Rattus norvegicus: one gene and its partners. The protein of the gene in region 1 interacts with the protein of each later gene in a biochemical or structural test. Links are inferred from orthologs where the notes say so. Each region holds a gene or a part of one and is shown on either strand. Other genes may lie near its edges.

What was found.
Region 2: the proteins of Rela (region 1) and Dpf2 form a complex in vitro, tested with the Homo sapiens proteins (2 studies listed by BioGRID). The link is inferred for Rattus norvegicus from reciprocal best matches to the Homo sapiens genes RELA and DPF2.
Region 3: the proteins of Rela (region 1) and Tle5 form a complex in vitro, tested with the Homo sapiens proteins (2 studies listed by BioGRID). The link is inferred for Rattus norvegicus from reciprocal best matches to the Homo sapiens genes RELA and TLE5.
Region 4: the proteins of Rela (region 1) and Pias3 form a complex in vitro, tested with the Homo sapiens proteins (2 studies listed by BioGRID, with this or other methods). The link is inferred for Rattus norvegicus from reciprocal best matches to the Homo sapiens genes RELA and PIAS3.

Annotation. Positions count from the first base shown.
Region 1 is NC_086019.1:212,352,421-212,357,574, forward strand, and holds the start of Rela (transcription factor p65), read left to right. Parts: upstream 1-1,915; 5' UTR 1,916-1,976; coding exon 1,977-1,983; intron 1,984-2,569; coding exon 2,570-2,596; intron 2,597-2,687; coding exon 2,688-2,839; intron 2,840-2,994; coding exon 2,995-3,143; intron 3,144-4,015; coding exon 4,016-4,107; intron 4,108-4,433; coding exon 4,434-4,565; intron 4,566-5,154. UniProt on the Homo sapiens protein: NF-kappa-B is a pleiotropic transcription factor present in almost all cell types and is the endpoint of a series of signal transduction events that are initiated by a vast array of stimuli related to many biological processes such as inflammation, immunity, differentiation, cell growth, tumorigenesis and apoptosis.
Region 2 is NC_086019.1:212,621,286-212,625,992, reverse strand, and holds part of Dpf2 (zinc finger protein ubi-d4), read left to right. Parts: intron 1-2,957; coding exon 2,958-3,118; intron 3,119-3,500; coding exon 3,501-3,608; intron 3,609-4,415; coding exon 4,416-4,579; intron 4,580-4,707. UniProt on the Homo sapiens protein: Plays an active role in transcriptional regulation by binding modified histones H3 and H4. Is a negative regulator of myeloid differentiation of hematopoietic progenitor cells. Might also have a role in the development and maturation of lymphoid cells.
Region 3 is NC_086025.1:8,793,119-8,798,625, reverse strand, and holds the end of Tle5 (TLE family member 5), read left to right. Parts: coding exon of another isoform or gene 1-67; exon of another isoform or gene 68-2,162; intron 2,163-2,168; coding exon 2,169-2,232; intron 2,233-2,761; coding exon 2,762-2,806; intron 2,807-2,924; coding exon of another isoform or gene 2,925-2,939; exon of another isoform or gene 2,940-2,959; coding exon 2,960-3,022; intron 3,023-3,412; coding exon 3,413-3,487; intron 3,488-3,607; coding exon 3,608-3,829; 3' UTR 3,830-4,503; downstream 4,504-5,507. UniProt on the Homo sapiens protein: Transcriptional corepressor. Acts as a dominant repressor towards other family members. Inhibits NF-kappa-B-regulated gene expression. May be required for the initiation and maintenance of the differentiated state.
Region 4 is NC_086020.1:186,924,425-186,928,463, reverse strand, and holds part of Pias3 (E3 SUMO-protein ligase PIAS3), read right to left. Parts: coding exon 3,794-4,039; intron 3,641-3,793; coding exon 3,556-3,640; intron 3,469-3,555; coding exon 3,418-3,468; intron 3,194-3,417; coding exon 3,103-3,193; intron 2,664-3,102; coding exon 2,529-2,663; intron 2,340-2,528; coding exon 2,234-2,339; intron 1,796-2,233; coding exon 1,722-1,795; intron 1,611-1,721; coding exon 1,450-1,610; intron 742-1,449; coding exon 608-741; intron 529-607; coding exon 360-528; intron 207-359; coding exon 73-206; intron 1-72. UniProt on the Homo sapiens protein: Functions as an E3-type small ubiquitin-like modifier (SUMO) ligase, stabilizing the interaction between UBE2I and the substrate, and as a SUMO-tethering factor.

The sequences.
Region 1 (5,154 bases):
CTCTGAGCTATACTCCTACCCATCTTCCCCTTTGAGATAAAACTTCACTGTGTAGTCTCTGCTGGTCCAGAGCTCTCCATGTAAACAAAGCTCTACTGTTTTGTTTTGTTTTTTTAATTTGTTTTGAGACAGTGTCTATACAGTCCTGGCTGTCTAGCAACTCACTATGTATAGACTATGCTGACCTCGAACTAGGAGAGCACTTGACTCTGCCTCCAGAGTGCTGGGGTTAAAGGTCTGCACTACCAAGCCCAACTCATATTTAGCTTTAATTATGTATGAGCACATGTGAATGCAGATGCTCTCAAGAGCCCAGAACAGGGGATGAGGTCTTCTGAAGCTGCAGTTACAGTCACTGGTAACTGGCCTCTCTCTACAAGAGCAGTATTGACTCTTAGCTGATGGGCCATCTCTCCAGCCTGTAGCCATCTTTTTTTTTTTTTTTTTTTTTTAAGAGCATCTTCTGTTGCTCTGGATGGGTTCAAATTATGTAGAGGAAGATGACCTTGAACTTCTGACCCCATGAGTACTGGGATGACTGGAACATCCTAGACCTAGGAATCAAACCCAGAGCTTCCTTCAATGTTAAGAACTTTCCTGAGTTGCCATCTCTAGCCCTTATTTTTCAGTAAGTACACTCATGTTCATATTAATTAAATTGCAACTATATGTCAGTTTTTAAAAGTGGTTCGTGCGAGGATCAATGATGGCTGTGTGCCATTAATCGGAGACCATAATTCATTCTGTCACCTTGATGTCCGCCCCCGCAAAACATTAAACTGCTTTTTCTAATCTGCGCCAAGTGAGAAACTGAAATGAGTGGGAGGGGCGGTAACTATTTTCACTTTTGTCTTCCTGTTTTTTTCAGAGCCTGGGAAAGAAGTCAGAATTTCCAATCTTTTCCAATTCCCACATGATTTCCTAATTTAGAGAAAATAAGTCTTTCTCCATGTGCTAAAGCCTCCTCTGCCCCCCACCCCGCCTCCTCCTTCTGGCATTGTGGAGGGAGCCTGATGTGTTGATTCCTCCAGCCAGTGTCCCCAGACTCAATCTGCACACCCGCCCTTGGCTTAGATGGCAATTTTCTCTCCCTACAAAAGCTTTCATCACTGGAGCTCAGGCTCCTGGGAGGCCTTCAAGGAGATGCTCAAGTGGTGTGACCCTGGCTAGCTCCGGAGATCCCTAGGGATCTGAACCTTAGCAGACAGGACCTATCTGTGGAGGCGAAGCCCTGGAGCTCTTCCAGCATTCATTGCTCTCAGGGACTCTTAGAGGTACAGGTGTCTACCTCGGTCCCCTCTACACCAAGGCCTCAGTCAAGCCTTGATGAAGCATGCTTTGGGAAGCACTCCTGCGCGCAGCCGGATCTAGGTTGGGAGCATATGGCCTGTAACGCGCGGCGGTCCCCAGAAGGCCCTGCACGAGTAGGAAAACGTGTGGAATTCAGTCACTGTGCTCCGCGGAAGCAGCAGGCCTGAGCCTCTCCTTGTGCAGGGCGAATGGCCGCAGCCTGCCAGCAGCCCGGGCTCTGCTCCAGACCAGGCCAGGGTGACATCACCAAACTCTTGAGATCAGAGCGGGGCGGGGAACGGGACCCGAAATCCCCTAAAAACAGAGTGAGTAATCGCGGGCCCGCCCTCCAGGCGGGGCCCGGACACGGAGCGAACCGCGCTGCGTAGTCCGGGAGCGGCTTGCAGTCGGGCGGGCCTCAGGACGAATAGCCTCGGCGTCCTACCGCCGCGCTCCGGTGTCCCCGCCCGCGCGCCGCACACCTTCCGCGCCCAGCGTGAGTTGCGCACCTGCTCTCGGCCCCCACGCGCGTCGGTGGCGGCGGCGCAGCGCGCAGGCGCGGCCGGATTCCGGGCAGTGACGCGACGACGGGCGCGCGCCGCGCATTTCCGCCTCTGGCGAATGGCTTCGCTTTAGCGCGCCGTGGGCTCAGCTGCGACCCCGGCCCCGCCCCCGGGACCCTGGCCATGGACGGTGAGGCTGCCCTCTGGCCCGCGGGACGGCTGCCCTAGAGTTCCGGGACCTGCGGCGGGATCCCCCTCGCGCCGTCTTCCGCCCCTTTCTGCGCCGCGGGTTGCTGCGCAGGGAGCGGCAGGCCGGATGGTGGCACGGGGCGGGGCGGGCTGCGAGGGGTCTGACTCAGTTGCCCCTCTCAGTGGAGGGCGCCTTGACTCAATGTCCCTCCTGGGTGGGAGTACGGGTGAATCTTGACTCAGTTTCCTCCGGCTTCCCCCCCCCACCCACTGTGTCGATGCGATTAGTTCTGGCTTCCTTTCCGTGTAAGGGAGAAAGTATCTGACTCAGTATCCCCCGAAAAGGAGAGGGGGTAGAACCCTTCCTCAGTGTCACTTATGAACGTAAAACAGGCTCTGACTCAGTTTCCCCGGGCAAAGGAATACCTCTGTGCCCCTTTTCTCTAGTAGAGAGATGCTTTTGCCTTCTTTACCTGGCCTCTTTCAGGGCAGGTCTTAGGATCTTGGCTCAGTTTCCTTTGGAGGCATTCCCTGGTGAGGGTGGGTACTGGAGTTTATTGACAGTGTGCCTTGTCTTTCCCTTTCAGATCTGTTTCCCCTCATCTTTCCCTCAGGTAAGTGGACCATCCTTCCTCAGTAGGTAGGGGCTGTCCTGGAGTAGGGGCCATGGGGGCAGCACCTAATGGCTGACCGTATCACCCACAGAGCCAGCCCAGGCTTCTGGGCCATATGTGGAGATCATTGAGCAGCCCAAGCAGCGGGGCATGCGTTTCCGTTACAAGTGCGAGGGCCGCTCTGCAGGCAGTATTCCTGGGGAGAGAAGCACAGATACCACTAAGACGCACCCCACCATCAAGGTAAGCAAGAGCCCCCAGGGGTGTCGGGGTGGGGACACAGATGTGGTGGAAGGCACTGTGGAGCCCCAGCAGACTTGCCTCCTTGCCACCGCGCCCCGTGTCTAGGAGCCAGATTTGGGATTGCTGGCCTCTAAAGTACTCTGTACTTTGGACAGATCAATGGCTACACGGGACCAGGAACAGTTCGAATCTCCCTGGTCACCAAAGACCCACCTCACCGGCCTCATCCACATGAACTTGTGGGGAAGGACTGCCGGGATGGCTTCTATGAGGCTGAACTCTGCCCAGACCGATGCATCCACAGGTGAGTCTGAATAGATAGGCTGGGGGTAGTGTGAGGTCAGGGTAGGTAGGGGGCAGGGTAAGAGCAGGCTGGGCCAGGCAGCTGTTACAAAGTTACACTTTTCTAAACACTGGCAGAATCCAGAGTCCTTGCTCTGTCCCCAGGTCTGCAAACAGACCCCCTTTGTCTTAAATTCGCTAACAGATGGGAACTCTTTATCTTGGAGCGACAGATCCTTTATGACTGGATAGCCCAGTCCCTTAGGCTCTTGTATCAGAAAGTCCGTAATGGACTCTCCTAGAGCTTAAATACCAGTTGGTAAAACCAGGGGACAGTTGTACAAACAGATAGAAAAGATACTAGTGGAGAATTATAATTTCCATGATGAAAAGAAAACACAGTAATAAATTAGAAGGAGGAGGAGGCTGGTCTCGTGGCATAGGGACAGAGTCTCATATAGCTGAAGCTGGCCTTGCACTCATGAGGGTTCACCTACCTCCTCTTCTCAACTCCAAGGGTAATAGGCGCGTAGCACCATGTCCTGTTACGTAGGTCTCATGACTTTGGGTTGGAAGATTGCAGAAGGCCTCTGTGCTAACACTCAAATGGTGAGAAAAAGCAGACAAGCCCAAAAGAACATTGCATGCACAAGAAAGAAGTATGGTGACCTGGAAAAGGGACTAAGTTTAGTGTGCTCAGGGACGGGACAGGAAGGCCCTGTGGCTGAGGCTAGGACACTGACTTGGGGGCTGGTGTGGGCCAGGTCCCTCAGAGACTCGCCAGTGGGTAAGGAGTGGGTTCATTGTAGCACAGTGGGAAGCCTTGAGCTGTGAGCTGAGGAGTGGGAAGAGGGTGTTCTTTTGGAGACACAGAACTAATGCCTGAGGCCTCAGCTTCCAGAACCTGGGGATCCAGTGTGTGAAGAAGCGAGACCTGGAGCAAGCCATTAGCCAGCGCATCCAGACCAACAATAACCCCTTTCAAGGTAGGAGCAAGGGGCAGGACATAGCCTGCCTGTGGTGCACATTCTGCCACCTTCCCTGGGCCTCTGGCGCTCCTCACCCTCCATGACCAACCCAACAGTACAAGTGGAACCTCGCTGCCAGCATGGTACACACTCACATGCTACCGTTGAGAGTCAGGCCTAGAAAGGGGTGGTGTATTCAGGTCCCAGTAGAGCCGTGATGGGTCTAGGATTTTGTCTTCCTCCCCTTAGACTTCTGTTTTATATATCCTCAAATCACCTTCCTCTTCCCTCAGAGCTCCCTGCCCTCCCCATGCCTTCCACCACTTTTTTTTTTTTTTTGACAGTTCCCATAGAGGAGCAGCGCGGGGACTATGACTTGAATGCGGTCCGCCTCTGCTTCCAGGTGACAGTGCGGGACCCATCAGGCAGGCCCCTCCGCCTGACCCCTGTCCTCTCGCATCCGATTTTTGATAACCGTAAGTGGCCAGCTGCAGTAAGGGGAGAGGGTGGGCTTGGGAAGAGAATGGGGCTGGGGTGGGTGTGGCCTTGCTGCAGGGGGCAGGGCAGAGAAGACCCAGAGCTGCCTCTGTGGGAAGCTTGCAGGATGCCCTGGAGTTGGATGGGAAGTGACTGTTTTCCATATCTTGTGTTGAGATGCTGGTGTGCCAAGAACTGTGCTCATGACTTTAGGAAACCAGATAAGGCTAGACAGCAGTAAATGAACATTAGTAGCTCACAGGAAGCTCTGATGACCTGGGCTGACACTGATGGATTGCAGTCTTTAGCAAGCAGCAGAGCAAATGAAAATAGAAGGGCTTTAAAATCCTAAGGACTGGAAACCAGTATGAACTGGAAGTGAGGAGCAGAGGGCTCATTGCCAAGGCAGGGATGAACCAAAAGCTGAAACTCTGAAGCTCAGGTGGAAGGAGACAGATGTGGCCAGTGTCTCCTCTGGACTGGAAGGTCTGTGAGGGACGGAAATGCAGCCTTCCGTGTCCCTCTTACCTAGAGCCGAGCTACAAGCACTGCAGGGAGACTGTGGTGAACTGGCTGACCTGAAGAGCA
Region 2 (4,707 bases), about 270 kb from region 1:
CTCCAGGCCTTCTTCAGCCTCTGTGCTTTGACTTTGCAGTCTTCAGCCCCACTGGGCTGGTCCTTCCTTCCGTTTGACTTCCAGTGTCAGCATCAATTCCATCAGCAGAAACAAAGGAGCTGCTGCAGTCAGCCTTGTTTATCGGTTTTTCCTGTGTGGTAAGGACAAGGCTGCCTCCTAAAGGCGAGCAAATGTGAGCCTGCTCTCTTCTGTGCTGTGCGCTCCAACACATTCATACCTTAATTATAGTTATTACTGCTCACTGAATCAACTCAGGCTGTACTTGTAGTGTTGCTGTGTGTGTGTTTTTATTAAGCTATGCAGTGGTCTCCTGTGACTGCTCAGTGAAAGTCCCTATCAGATCCTACGTTAGTGCTTGTCCATACAGCTTTAGTTGTAGGTATTGGCCACTGAGACTGAGACCTTCTCCCTCTTGCTTTTCATGCCTCCTTATCCCTACTATCTCCATCAGAATCCTGGCAGGCCAGAGATCATCTAATCTAACTGCCCCAATCTATAGGAGAGGAATGGAGGTTCATACAGATTAACCACATGACTGTGTCCATGTGGTGCCTGTACCAAAATCAGTCTTTTTACTCCCAAATCCATCCTGATGTGATCTAGATGACACCTTCATGGGTCCTGGGGATACTATGGGAAAGAAGTCTCTTCTGCCCTCAATGTTTTTTTTTTTTTTTTTTTTTTTTTTTTGTGGGGTGGGGGTTGGAATGTGGCTCAGTTGGTGGAATACTTGCTTAGCATGCAAGAGATCCTGGTTTGATTAGCGAGCACCACATAAAACTGGATGTGGTAGTGCATGCCTTTTGGGGAGGTAGAGGCAGGAAGATCAGAAATTCAAGGTCACTATTGACTGCATATGGGGTTGGAGGTGAGAATGAGCTACACGAACCACTATTTTTAAAAAAAAAAGATTGAGGGCTGGAGAGATGTCTCAGTGGTTAAGAGCATTGACTGCTCTTCCAGAGGTCCTGAGTTCAAATCCCAGCAATCACATGTGGTTCACAACCATCTGTAAAGCTCTCTTCTGGTGTGTCTGAAGATAGCTACAGTGTACTTATATATAATAAATAAATAAATCGTTTTAAAAAAAAGATTGAATATGTGACTGGGATATAGCTCAGTGGTAGAATACATATAGCACTTTGGAGGTTCTGCATATGAGCCCCAGAACAACAAAAAGATTGATTGACTGATTGATTGATTAAAAATATGAGTCCTTGGGGTTGGGGATTTAGCTCAGTGGTAGAGCACTTGCCTAGCAAGCGCAAGGCCCTGGGTTCGGTCCCCAGCTCCAAAAAAAAAAAAAAAAAAAAAAAAATGAGTCCTTACAAACTTACTGAACCAAAACAAGGTGGGGTCGTTGAACATGCTTAGAACCACAAAACCCCTCGCTCTCCAGTTTGCTGTCTTGTTATAAAGTACTTAGAGAGCCCCTCAGATTTCAGATCGCCTCCTCCAACACCAGACAATTCTTGGTGTCGGTTGGGAAGAGCCTGAGGTGGGCTTTGGTGTAACAGATTTTCTATTACTAGTTGTAGTGCTTAGTAAAAGTGGTCCTACCCCATGGCACTTCTCAGCACTGTGCCTGCCTTCTTTCCCCTAATTACCTTTGGATTGTTTGTACATGAAGAGCTTTTAAATTTTATCTTATTTGTATGAGCGTTTTGCCTGTATGTATGTGTGCCACATGTGTGACTGGTCCCCACAGACACCAGAAGAGGGAATTAGATCCTTCTAACTGTGAACCACTATATATATGGATTCTGGGAACCAGACCTGGACAGGTCCTCCTCGAGAACAGGTGTTTTGGGTTTGTTGGTTTGTTTTTTTGTTTTTTTTTTTTTTTTTTTTGTTGTTGTTTTGTTTTGTTTTTTGTTTTTTTTTTTTTTTTTGTTTGGTTTTTGTTTGGTTTTTGAGACAGGGTCTCTCTGTAGTGTTTGGTTGACCTGGAACTCTATCCAGATGAGACAGGCCTCGAACCCAGAATTCCACCTGCCTCTGCTTCTTGAGGCATTTCTGTTGTGTTTTATTGGTTTTTTGTTGTTGTTTTGGTTGGTTGGTTTTTTAGTCTTGTGTAGTTGAGGCTGTCCTTGAACTACATATCTAGCTGAGGATCACTTAACACCTATACCTCCCGTCCCGTGTGCTAGGATCACAGGTGTGTGCCACCATACAGCCTAGTTTGAATTTTGAGGCAGAGTTTTGCTGTCTGATTCAACTGGCTTTGAAGTTAGGGTAATATACCTACCTTAGTCTTACTATTAGACATATGTACCATTTTCTAGAACTGAATAGCGTTTTGACGGGTGAATCTGCTAATAGTGCACTAAAAATCTTGTGACGAGTCCTAGATCTTGTTGTTTTCCCCATTTGTCAGGAAGTTAATATCTACAGTAATGTCTGCAGCTCAGATGCTTAGGCTAAGACAGGTAGCATTAACCAGCTTGAGCTGGACATATGGGAACCACAGAATGAGCCATTCATTTCTTTCTTGTCTCTTCCTCCCCCAGTAGTGACAGATTGAATCCAGAGCCCTGTGCGGGCTGAGCAAGCTTTCTACCACATCTGTTTCCTTGACCATTCTTCACTCTATGTGGATTAAGATTTAAGTTTGACTTGGCAGGAGGATTTTCATGAGTTTAGCACTTGGGCTGAAGAATGAAAGAGACCTTGTCTCAGAACAAACAAATATTTAAAAAGTTTATGTCTGACTATACACATGATAAATTTGTGTGTCCCATGATTATTATTCAGGGGCTCTGTAACTTATCTTTCCTCATGTGATAGCTTAGTGAAGGTTCTTCTTGTCCCTTGAGGCAGAATAGGAGGCAAATGACAGAAAGAGAGTCTCTTAGATCCCTGAGCCTTTGAGAGAAGCAGTTGACAGGGAAGAAGGATGATTTGACCCCATCCCTCTATGTTTTACCGTCCTGCAGCCTTGGGGAGCAGTACTACAAAGATGCCATGGAACAGTGCCACAATTATAATGCCCGCCTGTGTGCCGAGCGTAGCGTGCGTCTGCCTTTCTTGGACTCTCAGACTGGAGTAGCCCAGAGCAATTGTTACATCTGGATGGAAAAGCGGCACCGGGGCCCAGGTAAGGTCGCAGACTTCAGGAACGGTGGCACAGGAGCACGAGGAAGCATCTGCTATCCCCTAGGAGATGCTCCTTAGGCTCCTTAGGTAGTAGAAGGCTCCACCACTGTCACACTGGTAGATGAGAACCAGGGGGGATGTAGCAGCCGGCCTTTGTTTTCAGCCTCTGAGGCAGCTATGATCTTCCGAGGACTAAGAACAGCTGTGTACTTCAACTGACATCTGTTTTTCTTTACCATGAAGTATCCCCACCCGGCCCAGGCTCACATGTTCTGTACCCTTGCTCTAGAACTCAATAAAGTTCTCATCTACAAGATGTTTGCCGTTGTTTTTAGGCTGGATTAGGGCTTAATAGTTCTTCCTTCCCTTCCTTCCTTCCACAGGATTGGCCTCTGGACAGTTGTACTCCTACCCTGCCCGACGCTGGCGAAAAAAGCGTCGAGCCCACCCACCTGAGGATCCCAGGCTTTCTTTCCCGTCTATTAAGCCAGGTAGAGGCTGGGGTAGCTCAGTTGCTAGAGTGTCACCCAGCATACACTGGGCCCTGGGTTTAATATCCTGCTTTGCATAAACTGAACATGGTTGTATATTCCTATATAACAATACCATTGAGGAGGTTGGGGCAGGAGGATTAGAAATTCAGGGTCATTCTCTACTAATAGAGAGTCTGAGACCAGCCTGGACTACATGAGAGCCTCAAAAACCATGAAATTCCCTCAAAATGATATGGGTTGGAGAGAAGTCCCAGTGCTTGTGTGAACACAAGGACCTAAATTCTAGTCTAGCATTTATACAAAGCTCAGTGTGGCCAAGGCCAACATGTTCCTGTAATCCCAAAACTCTGAGTACAGAGCTGGCGCTTCTAGCTACCAATCTAATTCAGTGAGAGACTCCAAGGCAATAAGGCAGAGCCCCCAGTGTCCTCCCAACATGTGTAGCCACATGTGTTCATGCGCCATATAGACATATATGATTATGTCTTATATGTCATGACTAAAATAATCCAGAGTAAATAAACCAAGTAAGGGGCTCCCTTCTCAGGAAGGCCATGGTCTGTATGAGGGGAGGCTTGCTGATTGCCGGCTCTCCCCAGGCTCTGTTGAGCTTGCACATACTTTGCTTCTGTCCTTCAGGGAGCCCACTGTTAGTGAAAACAGGTAATGCAGCTTATTCCAGTGCCGGCTGAACAGATACATCTCGGTTCCTGGAGAACAGAAGTGGCTGGGTTTGACTTGGCCCCTCGTGGTGTAGATTCAGCTTCAGCCCTTCTGAGTTAGCTTCATCTTGACTTGTTGCAGACACGGACCAGACTCTGAAGAAAGAGGGCCTTATCTCCCAGGATGGCAGCAGTTTAGAGGCTCTGCTGCGTACTGATCCCCTGGAGAAACGGGGTGCCCCAGATCCCCGAGTTGATGATGACAGCCTGGGCGAGTTTCCTGTTACCAACAGTCGAGCACGGAAGGTATGTCGTTCCTATCTATGGCTAAAGGACTTTAATAAGGATCAGCCTCTTTTGGGTCTACTAATTGGACCACTAATCGTGTGCCACCAAGTGCTGCTGGGAATTGAACTCAGGACCTCTGGAAGAGC
Region 3 (5,507 bases), on another chromosome or scaffold:
TTGGGGTCCCAGCCACGGGTCTCCGTTTGACCCTAGGCTGGACCTGTTTTATAGGATCCAGTGGTGAGTGGGCATGGGGGTGCAGGCCCAACCTTCCAGCTCTCACACAGTCAGGCGAATGTTGTTCTGGGCTAGCCTGAGGTACAGAACAAACCTCTGTCTCAGAAAATGAACTAATAATAATGATGATAGTAATGATAAAATCTTTAAAAGACCCTTAGATTTCTCCAAGAAAAAGGTAAACCTCAGTGTTTGTGGAGTTTTCTATTTTAAAAAATTATTTTATTTAAGTTTTTGGTATTTATTTTGAGACAGGGTCTTATGTGGCCCAGGCTTTCCCTATATAGCCAAGGATGACCTTGAGCTGCTGACAGGACAGGACAGGCAAGGCCCAGGGGGTGCTAGGCCAGCCATCTACCCGCTGGGCGGCTCCCCCAGCATTTGCCATTTTAAAGAGGAATTTAGGGCACCATTTTGAAGAGGGATTTAGGCACCAGTGCAGGCTATGCCCGCATGGCTCTGGGACCACTCTTAGGGTGACTTCTGCCAGGACCTGCAGGGCAGACAGAGGCTGTGTGTCATCCCATAGGCAGATGCCATCTCTGAGCTGCATTGTGCTGCCCTCTGTGCACTGGGCCTGGGTTCGGGACTGGGGAGCGGACCTCGTGCACTCACGGTCGAGCCGCAATAGCCTTATTTATTGTGTTTGTGTGTGTGTGTGTGTGTGTGTGTGTGTGTGTGTGTGTGTGTGTGCGCGAGAGAGAGAGAGTATGAGAGAGAGAGGGAGGGAGAGGGGCCACAGTGTGACTCAGGGTCCACCACTCAGTCTTGCATCCCTGAGCGAGTGCGGCCTTCACTTGGAGAGCATATCAGAAGTTAGCTGGGCTAACAAGCCACGCTTTTCCCATTGCTCCTGTCTGAGCCACAGGCCCTTGAGCGGCTGAGCCTGTTCAGGGCTGGCCGAGAACAGGGTCACTGTGCAGGCTGTGTTGGCCTCCCGTTCCTGACCCTGTGGCTGCGCTAGGCTGGCTTTATGTTTGTTTGTTTTTTGTTTTTTGTTTTTTTCCAGGACAGGGTCTCACTCTGTAGGACAGGATGGCCTCAAACTCACAGACGTCTACCTGTCTTACCCTCCCAAGTTTTGAGGGCCTTTTGGATTTAAAAAGAAATATTTTGATGGGCTTGTGGGCACAGGACTTTAACCCCAGCACTCAGGAGGCAGAAGCAGGCAGATCTCTGAGTTCCAGGACAGCCAGGGCTACACAGAGAAACCCTGTCTTGGAAGAGAGAGAGAATGGGGGGGGGGAGGTAGTGCTGTTGTTGAGGTGGAAGTCAGAGGACAACTTGGGGGAGTCACTGCTAGGCAAGAGCCTACCCCACTGAGTAGCCTCATAGGTCTGGAAAGCAAGCCACAGACCCAATCCCTTGATTCCACTGACCTGTCCTGGTCCAGGAAGGTTGCCACTACAAAGAGAAAGCAAGTGGAGTCCAGAAAGGTAGAACAGCCAACCTAGAATCACACAGCAGCAGAAGGCAAAGAGACCCCAGCCTCCAGCCCCGATGAGACTAGAGAGATGGGCTGGACCTGAAGAAGTTTCCTGAAGCCAGGACACCATGGGGTGTCTGTTCCTTTCAGCCCTGGGCCATCTCAGTCTTCAGCATTTGTTGTTGTGTGGAGATATCTCCCCAGGTTTGAGTACTCGGGTTACCGCCGGCTGTGTGACCTTGAACCTCTCACTCACCCTCTCTGGGCACCCACTGAATCCCATGTTAAGATGAGATAGGGGGATGACAAGTTCTGCAGCCCTCATCTCCTGCAGGAAGGTACCTCTGACTTTGGTGGTTGTTATTCCATTGAGAATGCTTTTGGAATTTCAGTAGGGGAAACTGAGTAACCTCGCCTGCCCAGGATTGCAGAAAACCCAGGGGTGTCCTTAAATGCAGCCAGATGTGGTGTTTGGCCCTGTCTCAGTTTGCATCTTGGGGCTGTGGCTCAGTTGGCAGGAGAATCAGGACTTCAAAGTCATCCTCAGCTACATAGTGAGTTCAGGGCTAGCCTGAGCTACATGAGACCCTGTCTCAAAAAAAAAAAAAGTTTTTGGCTTGACCCTCCAGAGGTGCCCCCTACCCCGAGGGGACCTCAGTTGCCTTCCCTTGTGTGTCCTCAGCCTGAAGCTGGAGTGTGACAAGCTGGCCAGCGAGAAGTCAGAGATGCAAAGGCATTACGTCATGGTAAAGCCCTCTCGGGGCGGGGGCGGGGGCGGGGCGTTGTGAGCGGCGACCCCAGACTCCCCACATACTGCAGGTGCCTGCTACCGAGTCCCCACAGGCTATCGGCAGCCTGGCCACCAGCCCAGGTAGTGGCTGAGGTGCCAAACCACCGGCTCGCAGCTCAGGCCGGCCAGGTCTCAGCCGTCCTTGGCGGGCTGCAGGAGGAGGCAGCTGTGGAAGCCTGCCATAGCCAGCCGGAAGCAACAGTTCCCTCCCTCCAGGCCATCCGGATGGCCAGGCATCCCTTAACCCTTCCTTGACCAGAGACCTCCTAACCCCCACAGGACCAAAGGGATTGTGCTTCCGTCCTTTAGTTCCCAGCAGGGGAGGTTGCTGGGGTCTTGGGGCATTGTGACTGGGGTCTTGAAGAACAAATAGGAGCTCACTGGATGGGGGTAGGGTGGAAGGGCATTGCTGGAATGTGCAGGGAGAAGCAGGCCACCCATAAGGCCACAGCCCTTTGGCCCTGACACGCTTCTCCACCTCACAGTACTATGAGATGTCTTACGGATTGAACATCGAGATGCACAAACAGGTGAGCCTCAGTATCCCTCCTCCATGACCCCAGTGCCCTGTGATTCCCAGACTGAGCATTGAGGCCACTCCTGTTACCCCCAGAGGTGGACTCAACTCCCCCTCCCCTGCCCTCCAAGTGCCCCAGGTACTGAGGGAAAACCATGTGTTCCAGGCTGAAATTGTGAAGAGGCTGAATGGGATTTGCGCCCAGGTTCTACCCTATTTGTCCCAGGAGGTAAGCAAGCCACCAGCAGGGAGCAGTGGGATTCCCTTCTCCCTGTGCTGAGCAACCCCCTGAGCACACACCTGCCCTCTCTGAACTTAGCAAAGGTGTGAATCGGAGCAGCTGGAGTCAGACCCCTGTGGCGAGGCAGAAAGTGCTACCGGGGTGGGCGGGCCGGCGCAGATGATTGATGGGGGACCGGGTGGGCGAACTCTGAGGAAATCGCTGTGAAGCTGGATTCCTAGTCTCCCACCCCGCCAGCCCCTGAGCCCCTAGGACCGGACTTCCCTTGTGCACTCGAACCGATTGCCCACTGCACAGGAGCCTCCCCCTTATGTTTAAACTCCAGCCTGACTGTCCCTTTGCCTGAGAGAACTGTGTCTCCTCCCTTGCCTCTTCCAGCATCAGCAGCAGGTCCTGGGAGCTATCGAGAGAGCCAAGCAGGTCACGGCTCCCGAGCTGAACTCCATCATCCGAGTAAGTCGGAGCTCCTGGTGGGCGGGGACTTGGGTGGGCAGGTGTATGACCCACGGTGACTGGGGTCAGGTGACAAGACCCTGAGCTGACTCTCACCCCACCCCCACCCTCGCCCCACAGCAGCAGCTCCAGGCTCACCAGCTGTCCCAGCTCCAGGCGCTGGCCCTGCCCCTGACACCGCTGCCTGTCGGGCTCCAGCCGCCATCCCTCCCTGCGGTCAGCGCAGGCACAGGCCTGCTGTCACTCTCTGCTCTGGGCTCTCAGACCCACCTCTCCAAGGAGGACAAGAACGGACACGATGGGGACACCCACCAGGAGGATGATGGAGAGAAGTCCGATTAGCTCCTGGGGAGAGGGAGGGGGAGGGGGGATACCAGGGGAGACAGGCACAGAGAGCACAGTGTTCTGAGGGCCACACTGCACACAGCTCGGTCCCTACCCAAGCTTCCACCTCCAGTCCTGGTTCCAGCTGTGCACCCTGGGCCTAGGAGACGCCAGAGGGACAGCCCAGGCTACAGGGAAAAATTCCCCACCTTCAACATTTCCCCGGGCTACAGCCACCAATCTCGGCCCAGAATGTACACAACGCTAGCCGCCCCTTTCCACCCTGTGCACCCCGAATTTGCCCCCTTTCCCCTTCTCTGCTTCCTGCACTGCACACCTGCTAGGCCCAGACCCCTCCCCCCAGCTCACCCAGCTCTGGTTCCCTCAACCGCGGAAAGAAAGCATTGGCTCGGGACTGCAGTGGGGGTGGGCACCCCACAAACTTCCCTCTCCCCTTCCCCAAATAAACGTGAGGGTTAAAAGTCGGTTTGTTTATTATTTCTTTTTCGTCCCAGTACTCTATAGCTACCATCTAAGAGAGAAAAAGAAGGAAGCCCTGGAGCGAGCGAGGGTCTGTCTGTGCATATAGTTAGATTTTTCTGGTCGCCTCGGCTTTGCCACCGAGAGGTGGAGGGCCGCTGTACTGAGGGTGGGGTCTAGCTGTGCCTTCAAAATAAAAACATGAAAAGGTCGGATGGTGTGTCCCTGCCTCTGTCTTGTGGGGTGGGGACCCCTTTCCTCAGGGCACCCTGTGTTCTGCAATAAGACACTCCTTGAGCAAGCAAAGGCCCAGAGGGTAAACTGGGGCCCTGCAGTCCTGGGGCAGGACGGTGCAGCTCAGTGCTCAGGTTTTCAACTGTTTTGGCAGGGTGGCCTGTGGCACCCACATGGGTGCCTTGGTTACTTTCTGAGAGGTGGCCTGAAGGCTCTCTGTACCCCTTCCAGGCTAGGCTGTCCCCTGGGGACCATGCCTTTTTGGGCCTCAGTTTTGGGCCTTTTTCTGTCTTGGTTTTCTGTGTAGCCCTGACTATCCCGAACTCATTCCTCAAACTCATAGAAGTCTACCTGCCTCTGCTTTCTGAGGCCGGGCAGTGGCGTCCTGTGCCACCTGTTTTCTTTATTTGTTTTCTGTTTGTTTTTCATTTGCTGGTTTATCGTGTCTGTCCGGTTTGAGGACCTCTTACAGGAATCTGTCCTCATCCTCCTTGTATCCTCGGGGTCAAACCCAGGGCGTCACTCTTTGTAGCAACTCCTTCACAGCAAAGCCATGGCTCTCTCAGCCAGTTTTTGTTGTTGTTGTTTCAGACAGGGTCTCACTGTGTAGCCCAGGATGGCCTGGAACTTGGTTTGTAGCCTGGGCTGGCCTTACTCGGATCCCCAGATTGTTTCTGTGTTTTGAGACAGGTTCTTGCTACAGCTCTGGTCCAAGCACTAAGAGGCCTGGAGTTCACCCTGGATCTTGGGGTACTGAACCCACTCGGGATCTTCAGCCAAAGAGTCAGAGGGTCTAGGGGGGCCAAAGCTTCTCCTCCCTCTGCTCCTGGGAAATCATTTTGAGGTATCTCATTGAGGGGTTATTGCCCCCTTTCCCCCTGTGGCTCTTGTGGGGAAGGTCCTGCCAACAGCTGGACTGGCAGTACGGGGACCCCAGGGAGAGTGCTGAGCCAGCTGACCTTGTATAATTGATCACCTATGT
Region 4 (4,039 bases), on another chromosome or scaffold:
TCTGCAAAGAAACAGGTCTGGACAGGGTACGAGGGCAGGACCCTCCCCTCCACCTTAGGGTCAGCGTTCTACCTTGGATGTCAGCCCCCAGCGGGAAGGCAGGTGGGTACTCATGTAGTGGGAGACTAGACAGGAAATCACTGCCCAGTGTACCCATTGCAGGGCTCCGCAGCACCGAAGACGGCTGGTGACCAGAGGTCAGGGCTCTGTAGTGGGGAGAAAGAGCTGGAGAAACCAGCCAAACACGGCTGCCCAAGGTCCCATCGTCCCTGCCCTTCCCCATCCCATAGCTTGCCCGGTGGCCAAAAGGCAGTTCTGACATCTGCCCCCTCCGATACAGAAGCAGCCTTTTCTCATACCCTTTGCTTCCAGGAAGGGCTGGAATGGCAGCCGAGGTAACAGGGCAGTGCTTCTTGGTGGGGGGCAGATCTTCCTCATCTGATGAGCTTTCGATTGTCAAGTCAATGACTTCAACCCTCTTCTTATTCTCTGACTGATTTCCCTCCTGGACTGGGCTATACTGGAGACCTATGGGTGGTTCAGAAGGCTGTCTCAGAAAAAGGGCCACCCATGACTGAGTGCAATGGGAGAGCAGAGGGTCACTCACCATCCAGCCCATACCCTGGTGGGGGGCAAACCTCGGATGCCTCCTTCTTGGGTTTCATTGGACACCAGGATCCATCTTCCATGAACTGGATCTCATCACAATCCGAACAGGAATTAAGAATTTCCATGAATAAACTAGGGGAGGAGGACATGGCGATTCACGACCCTGGCTGGAAGACGGCTGGAAGCGCACTCAGTGTTCTGAGACTCACTTCCTATGCCTTAGTCACCTCGTCTGCATTATCCACCCCACTGCACCTCTCTGAACTGACGCTGGAATAGGAGGACAGCACAGGCTGGGACTGCAGCTCAATAATAGAGCACTTGCTTAGCATGCAGGCCCTGAGTCTGAACCCTGGCATTGTGGGGGAAAGTATGTAAGAGAGCTGTGGAAGGGGACTAAGACTAGAAAACTTGCTTATTAAGGGTTAGGGTGGAAGACTAGTTATATAAGCCCATCCAGGATCTCAAAAAACAAAAACAAAAACAAACAAACAAAAAACCACCCTTATTGTGTCGACCTAATAAATGCTTTTGTGATAGGAAAAACGAGGAGGAGCCCTGACTGCAATGCTCTGCAGGAAGGTCTGGTAGTCGTCAGCAATGCATTTGGAACAATTCAATGCACAGCCCTGTCACTTACGAATGTGACCTTCAGTCCCTTTCCCCATCTATCATGATGGCACCTATGTCGTGGGGCTATCAGGGGGACTACTGAGAAAATGCAGTCAGAGTGCTCACGTCCTTAATGTTACGCACATGGTGGAGGCTAAAGGAGATGGAAACAGTGAAAGCTGGGACTTAGTGACTGTCCCAGAACAGAGGGAAGCTGAAGAGCCCTACCCATCAATAATCAGTGACTCATAGGGAGCCTTCTTGTCACACACAGGGCACGTCCATGTTGGCTTTTTCTCATTCATCTGTAGATAAAGGGCAGCATCGAAACTCTGCAGGTGGGCACAGGTGAGAGCGCGGCATGGGACAGTCAGGCGCATCTTCCCCAGCTGAGGAGAGGAGAGTTCACTCTAGCAAACCTCCCTCTAGTATCCTGAGGGACCCTCTTCAGAATGTATCCCAGCCCTCCTCCCACTTCCTGTCCCCCACCTTGTACCCACCGGGCACATGAGTGACACCCGGAGACTTGTAGTAGCCACTTCACTGTCGGGGTCAGCAGTCAATTTCTCCTTGACTGAAACAAGGATGGGGCCATTTCCAGGGGTCAGTGAGGCTGGAAGCAGCCTGGCAGCAGACAGCCCCAGATGACAGGCAGCTGGGTAGAGTGTCTGGGGGCTCATGGTGGGTCACAGGAGTGGAGAAGAGATGTCTACATCCCTAAAGATGCTTAAACAACGCAAGGTGAAATGTGGGCTACGTTAGGGACGATCCAGATGGGAGGATTGGACTTCAGGCTTCGGTACAGAGAGCTCTGTCTTAGTAGGGTGGGATTAGAATCTTAGGAGGGTGAGATACAAAACTGTTGTGTGATTCACAATGCAAAGCTCTTCCCACTGCCTGAGGGTCTAACTCCTCAGCTGAGACTGAGGAGAAAACCAGGGAGACCATATGCAAGAGCTGTTCCTGAGAAAGCCTGAGCTCAAAGTAGAAGGAGGAAAGGACTGTTACTCACTCAGTGCTCGGGAATGGTCTGGATTCCGGATACCCTTGGCTCTGAGCTTTTGTAGCAGGGTCCCTGCAGTCAACTGCCTCACCAGGTACACAGACAAGGAGTAATTCTACTTGGGGAAGGGAGAGGGAGCATCAGTTTCTGCTTCCCACGCCTCCTCTTTCGAGATGGCCTTTGTCTCACAGAGACCAGAGACAGTGGCCTTTAGCACAGAGACCTAAGAGCAAGATGAATCCCCAACTCAAAACTAGATGGCCCCCTGCAGCCTCTACAGCCTTTCGGCTTCAGCAATGCTCACCCGTCCAAACTCAGATGACCAGTTAACCACTATGGTGTTGGGAACAGTGGCTGAGAGACGAGCCAGGGGTGTGATGTTGATTGGACGACTAGGCCTCTTGGGCTCAGCTCCATTCTTGGTTGGAGGGAGGTAACCCTGAGGAAAGGAGGGATTTGTTAGTGGAGAGAGAGCGCTGGGAGAGGTTCAACTCTAACAACAGAACTCCTGTCTCAGATTACTCTCTGGAGGATGGCCAGCTCACCCAGGAGCAAAGGAATCAGGATCCGCTGAAAAACAAGGGCCCTGGTAGGGCTGGTGTAAGGGAGTGAAAGTGGGAAGGAACCCAGTCACTGGGTCCCATGGGTCCACTTCATCTAATATCACCTTTTAGAGGTCTTTTCATAGTAAACTAGTGTCCCTCTACTGGGTTCTGACAAAAACTAGTCAGCCCTATTTTAATTATCGCTAGATTGTATTGATTTCATCAATAAATTGAGCAACTACTACGTGCCAGGCACTGTCCTAAGCATGTCTTTTCATAAGAGGTTTTTACTTAATATTTATTCCTTGCCAAAGGGAGAGACTCTTTACCTACCGGCAGGGGGCAGAGTTTCCCATTAACCTTGACAAAGAGGTTAGGGGGGAAATAGTCCTCCTGGGGGCAGCTGGTCTCACAGAGACAGAACCTGGGGAGAAAGGACAGACGAATGGGGGGTTAAGTGGCAGTTTTCTGATGTGAATCGAGAACTGAGCAGGGAACTCCAGAAAAAAGAAAAACTAGCCATAGATATCTGTAGCCATCAGCATCCTGAGGAGTCATGGGCCAGAGTGGACTGGGGCTGGGGGCGGGGTGGGGGGGGAGGATGCCATCTACCTATTTAGCACCCACCCTGGATAAGGAGCAACTCACCTGAGCTGCACTTGTATGGTATAATCGCACTTGGCTCCTGGCAGAACCTCCCTGCGCAAAGTAAGAGCAGTTCAGAGCAGAAGCAAGCCTGGGGCACAGAGAGGAGAGTCGGCAGGGACAAGGCGGGGATGGGTGTACCTGGATGTGAGAATCTGCTGCAGCTGCTGGGGAGTGAGTGCAAAGGTAAAGTGGGCTTCCTCAAACCTCTGACTGGAGGTGGACGCTGTGGACACAAAGGCACCGTCATTCCCAAGCCCCTGCCTGAGAAGCTACTTGCTTCCATCCCACACTGCTGATCCTTCAAGAGTAAAACCTAATAGGAAAAATTCCAGCCTGAACCAGAATCCAGAAAGCCTGAGAGACCAGTCAGCCATACCAAGGGTGGTGGGCCGGATGAGCTCTCCGTAGACTTCGTAGAAGGGCAGTGGTTTCATGGTGACGTCAGGGTGCACAGGCTGGGGCAGAGGAGGGTGCATGTCCACCTCACGCTTAGGGCCCAGCAAGGTGCCAGGGGTCAGGAGGGTGGGAGGAATGGAAGCAAGGGGGCTGGGGGAGCCTACAGGAGAGGTGCCAGGGGGCAAAGAGAGCAAAGAGAGATCGGAAGGCCCCAGGGTCTTCCGGG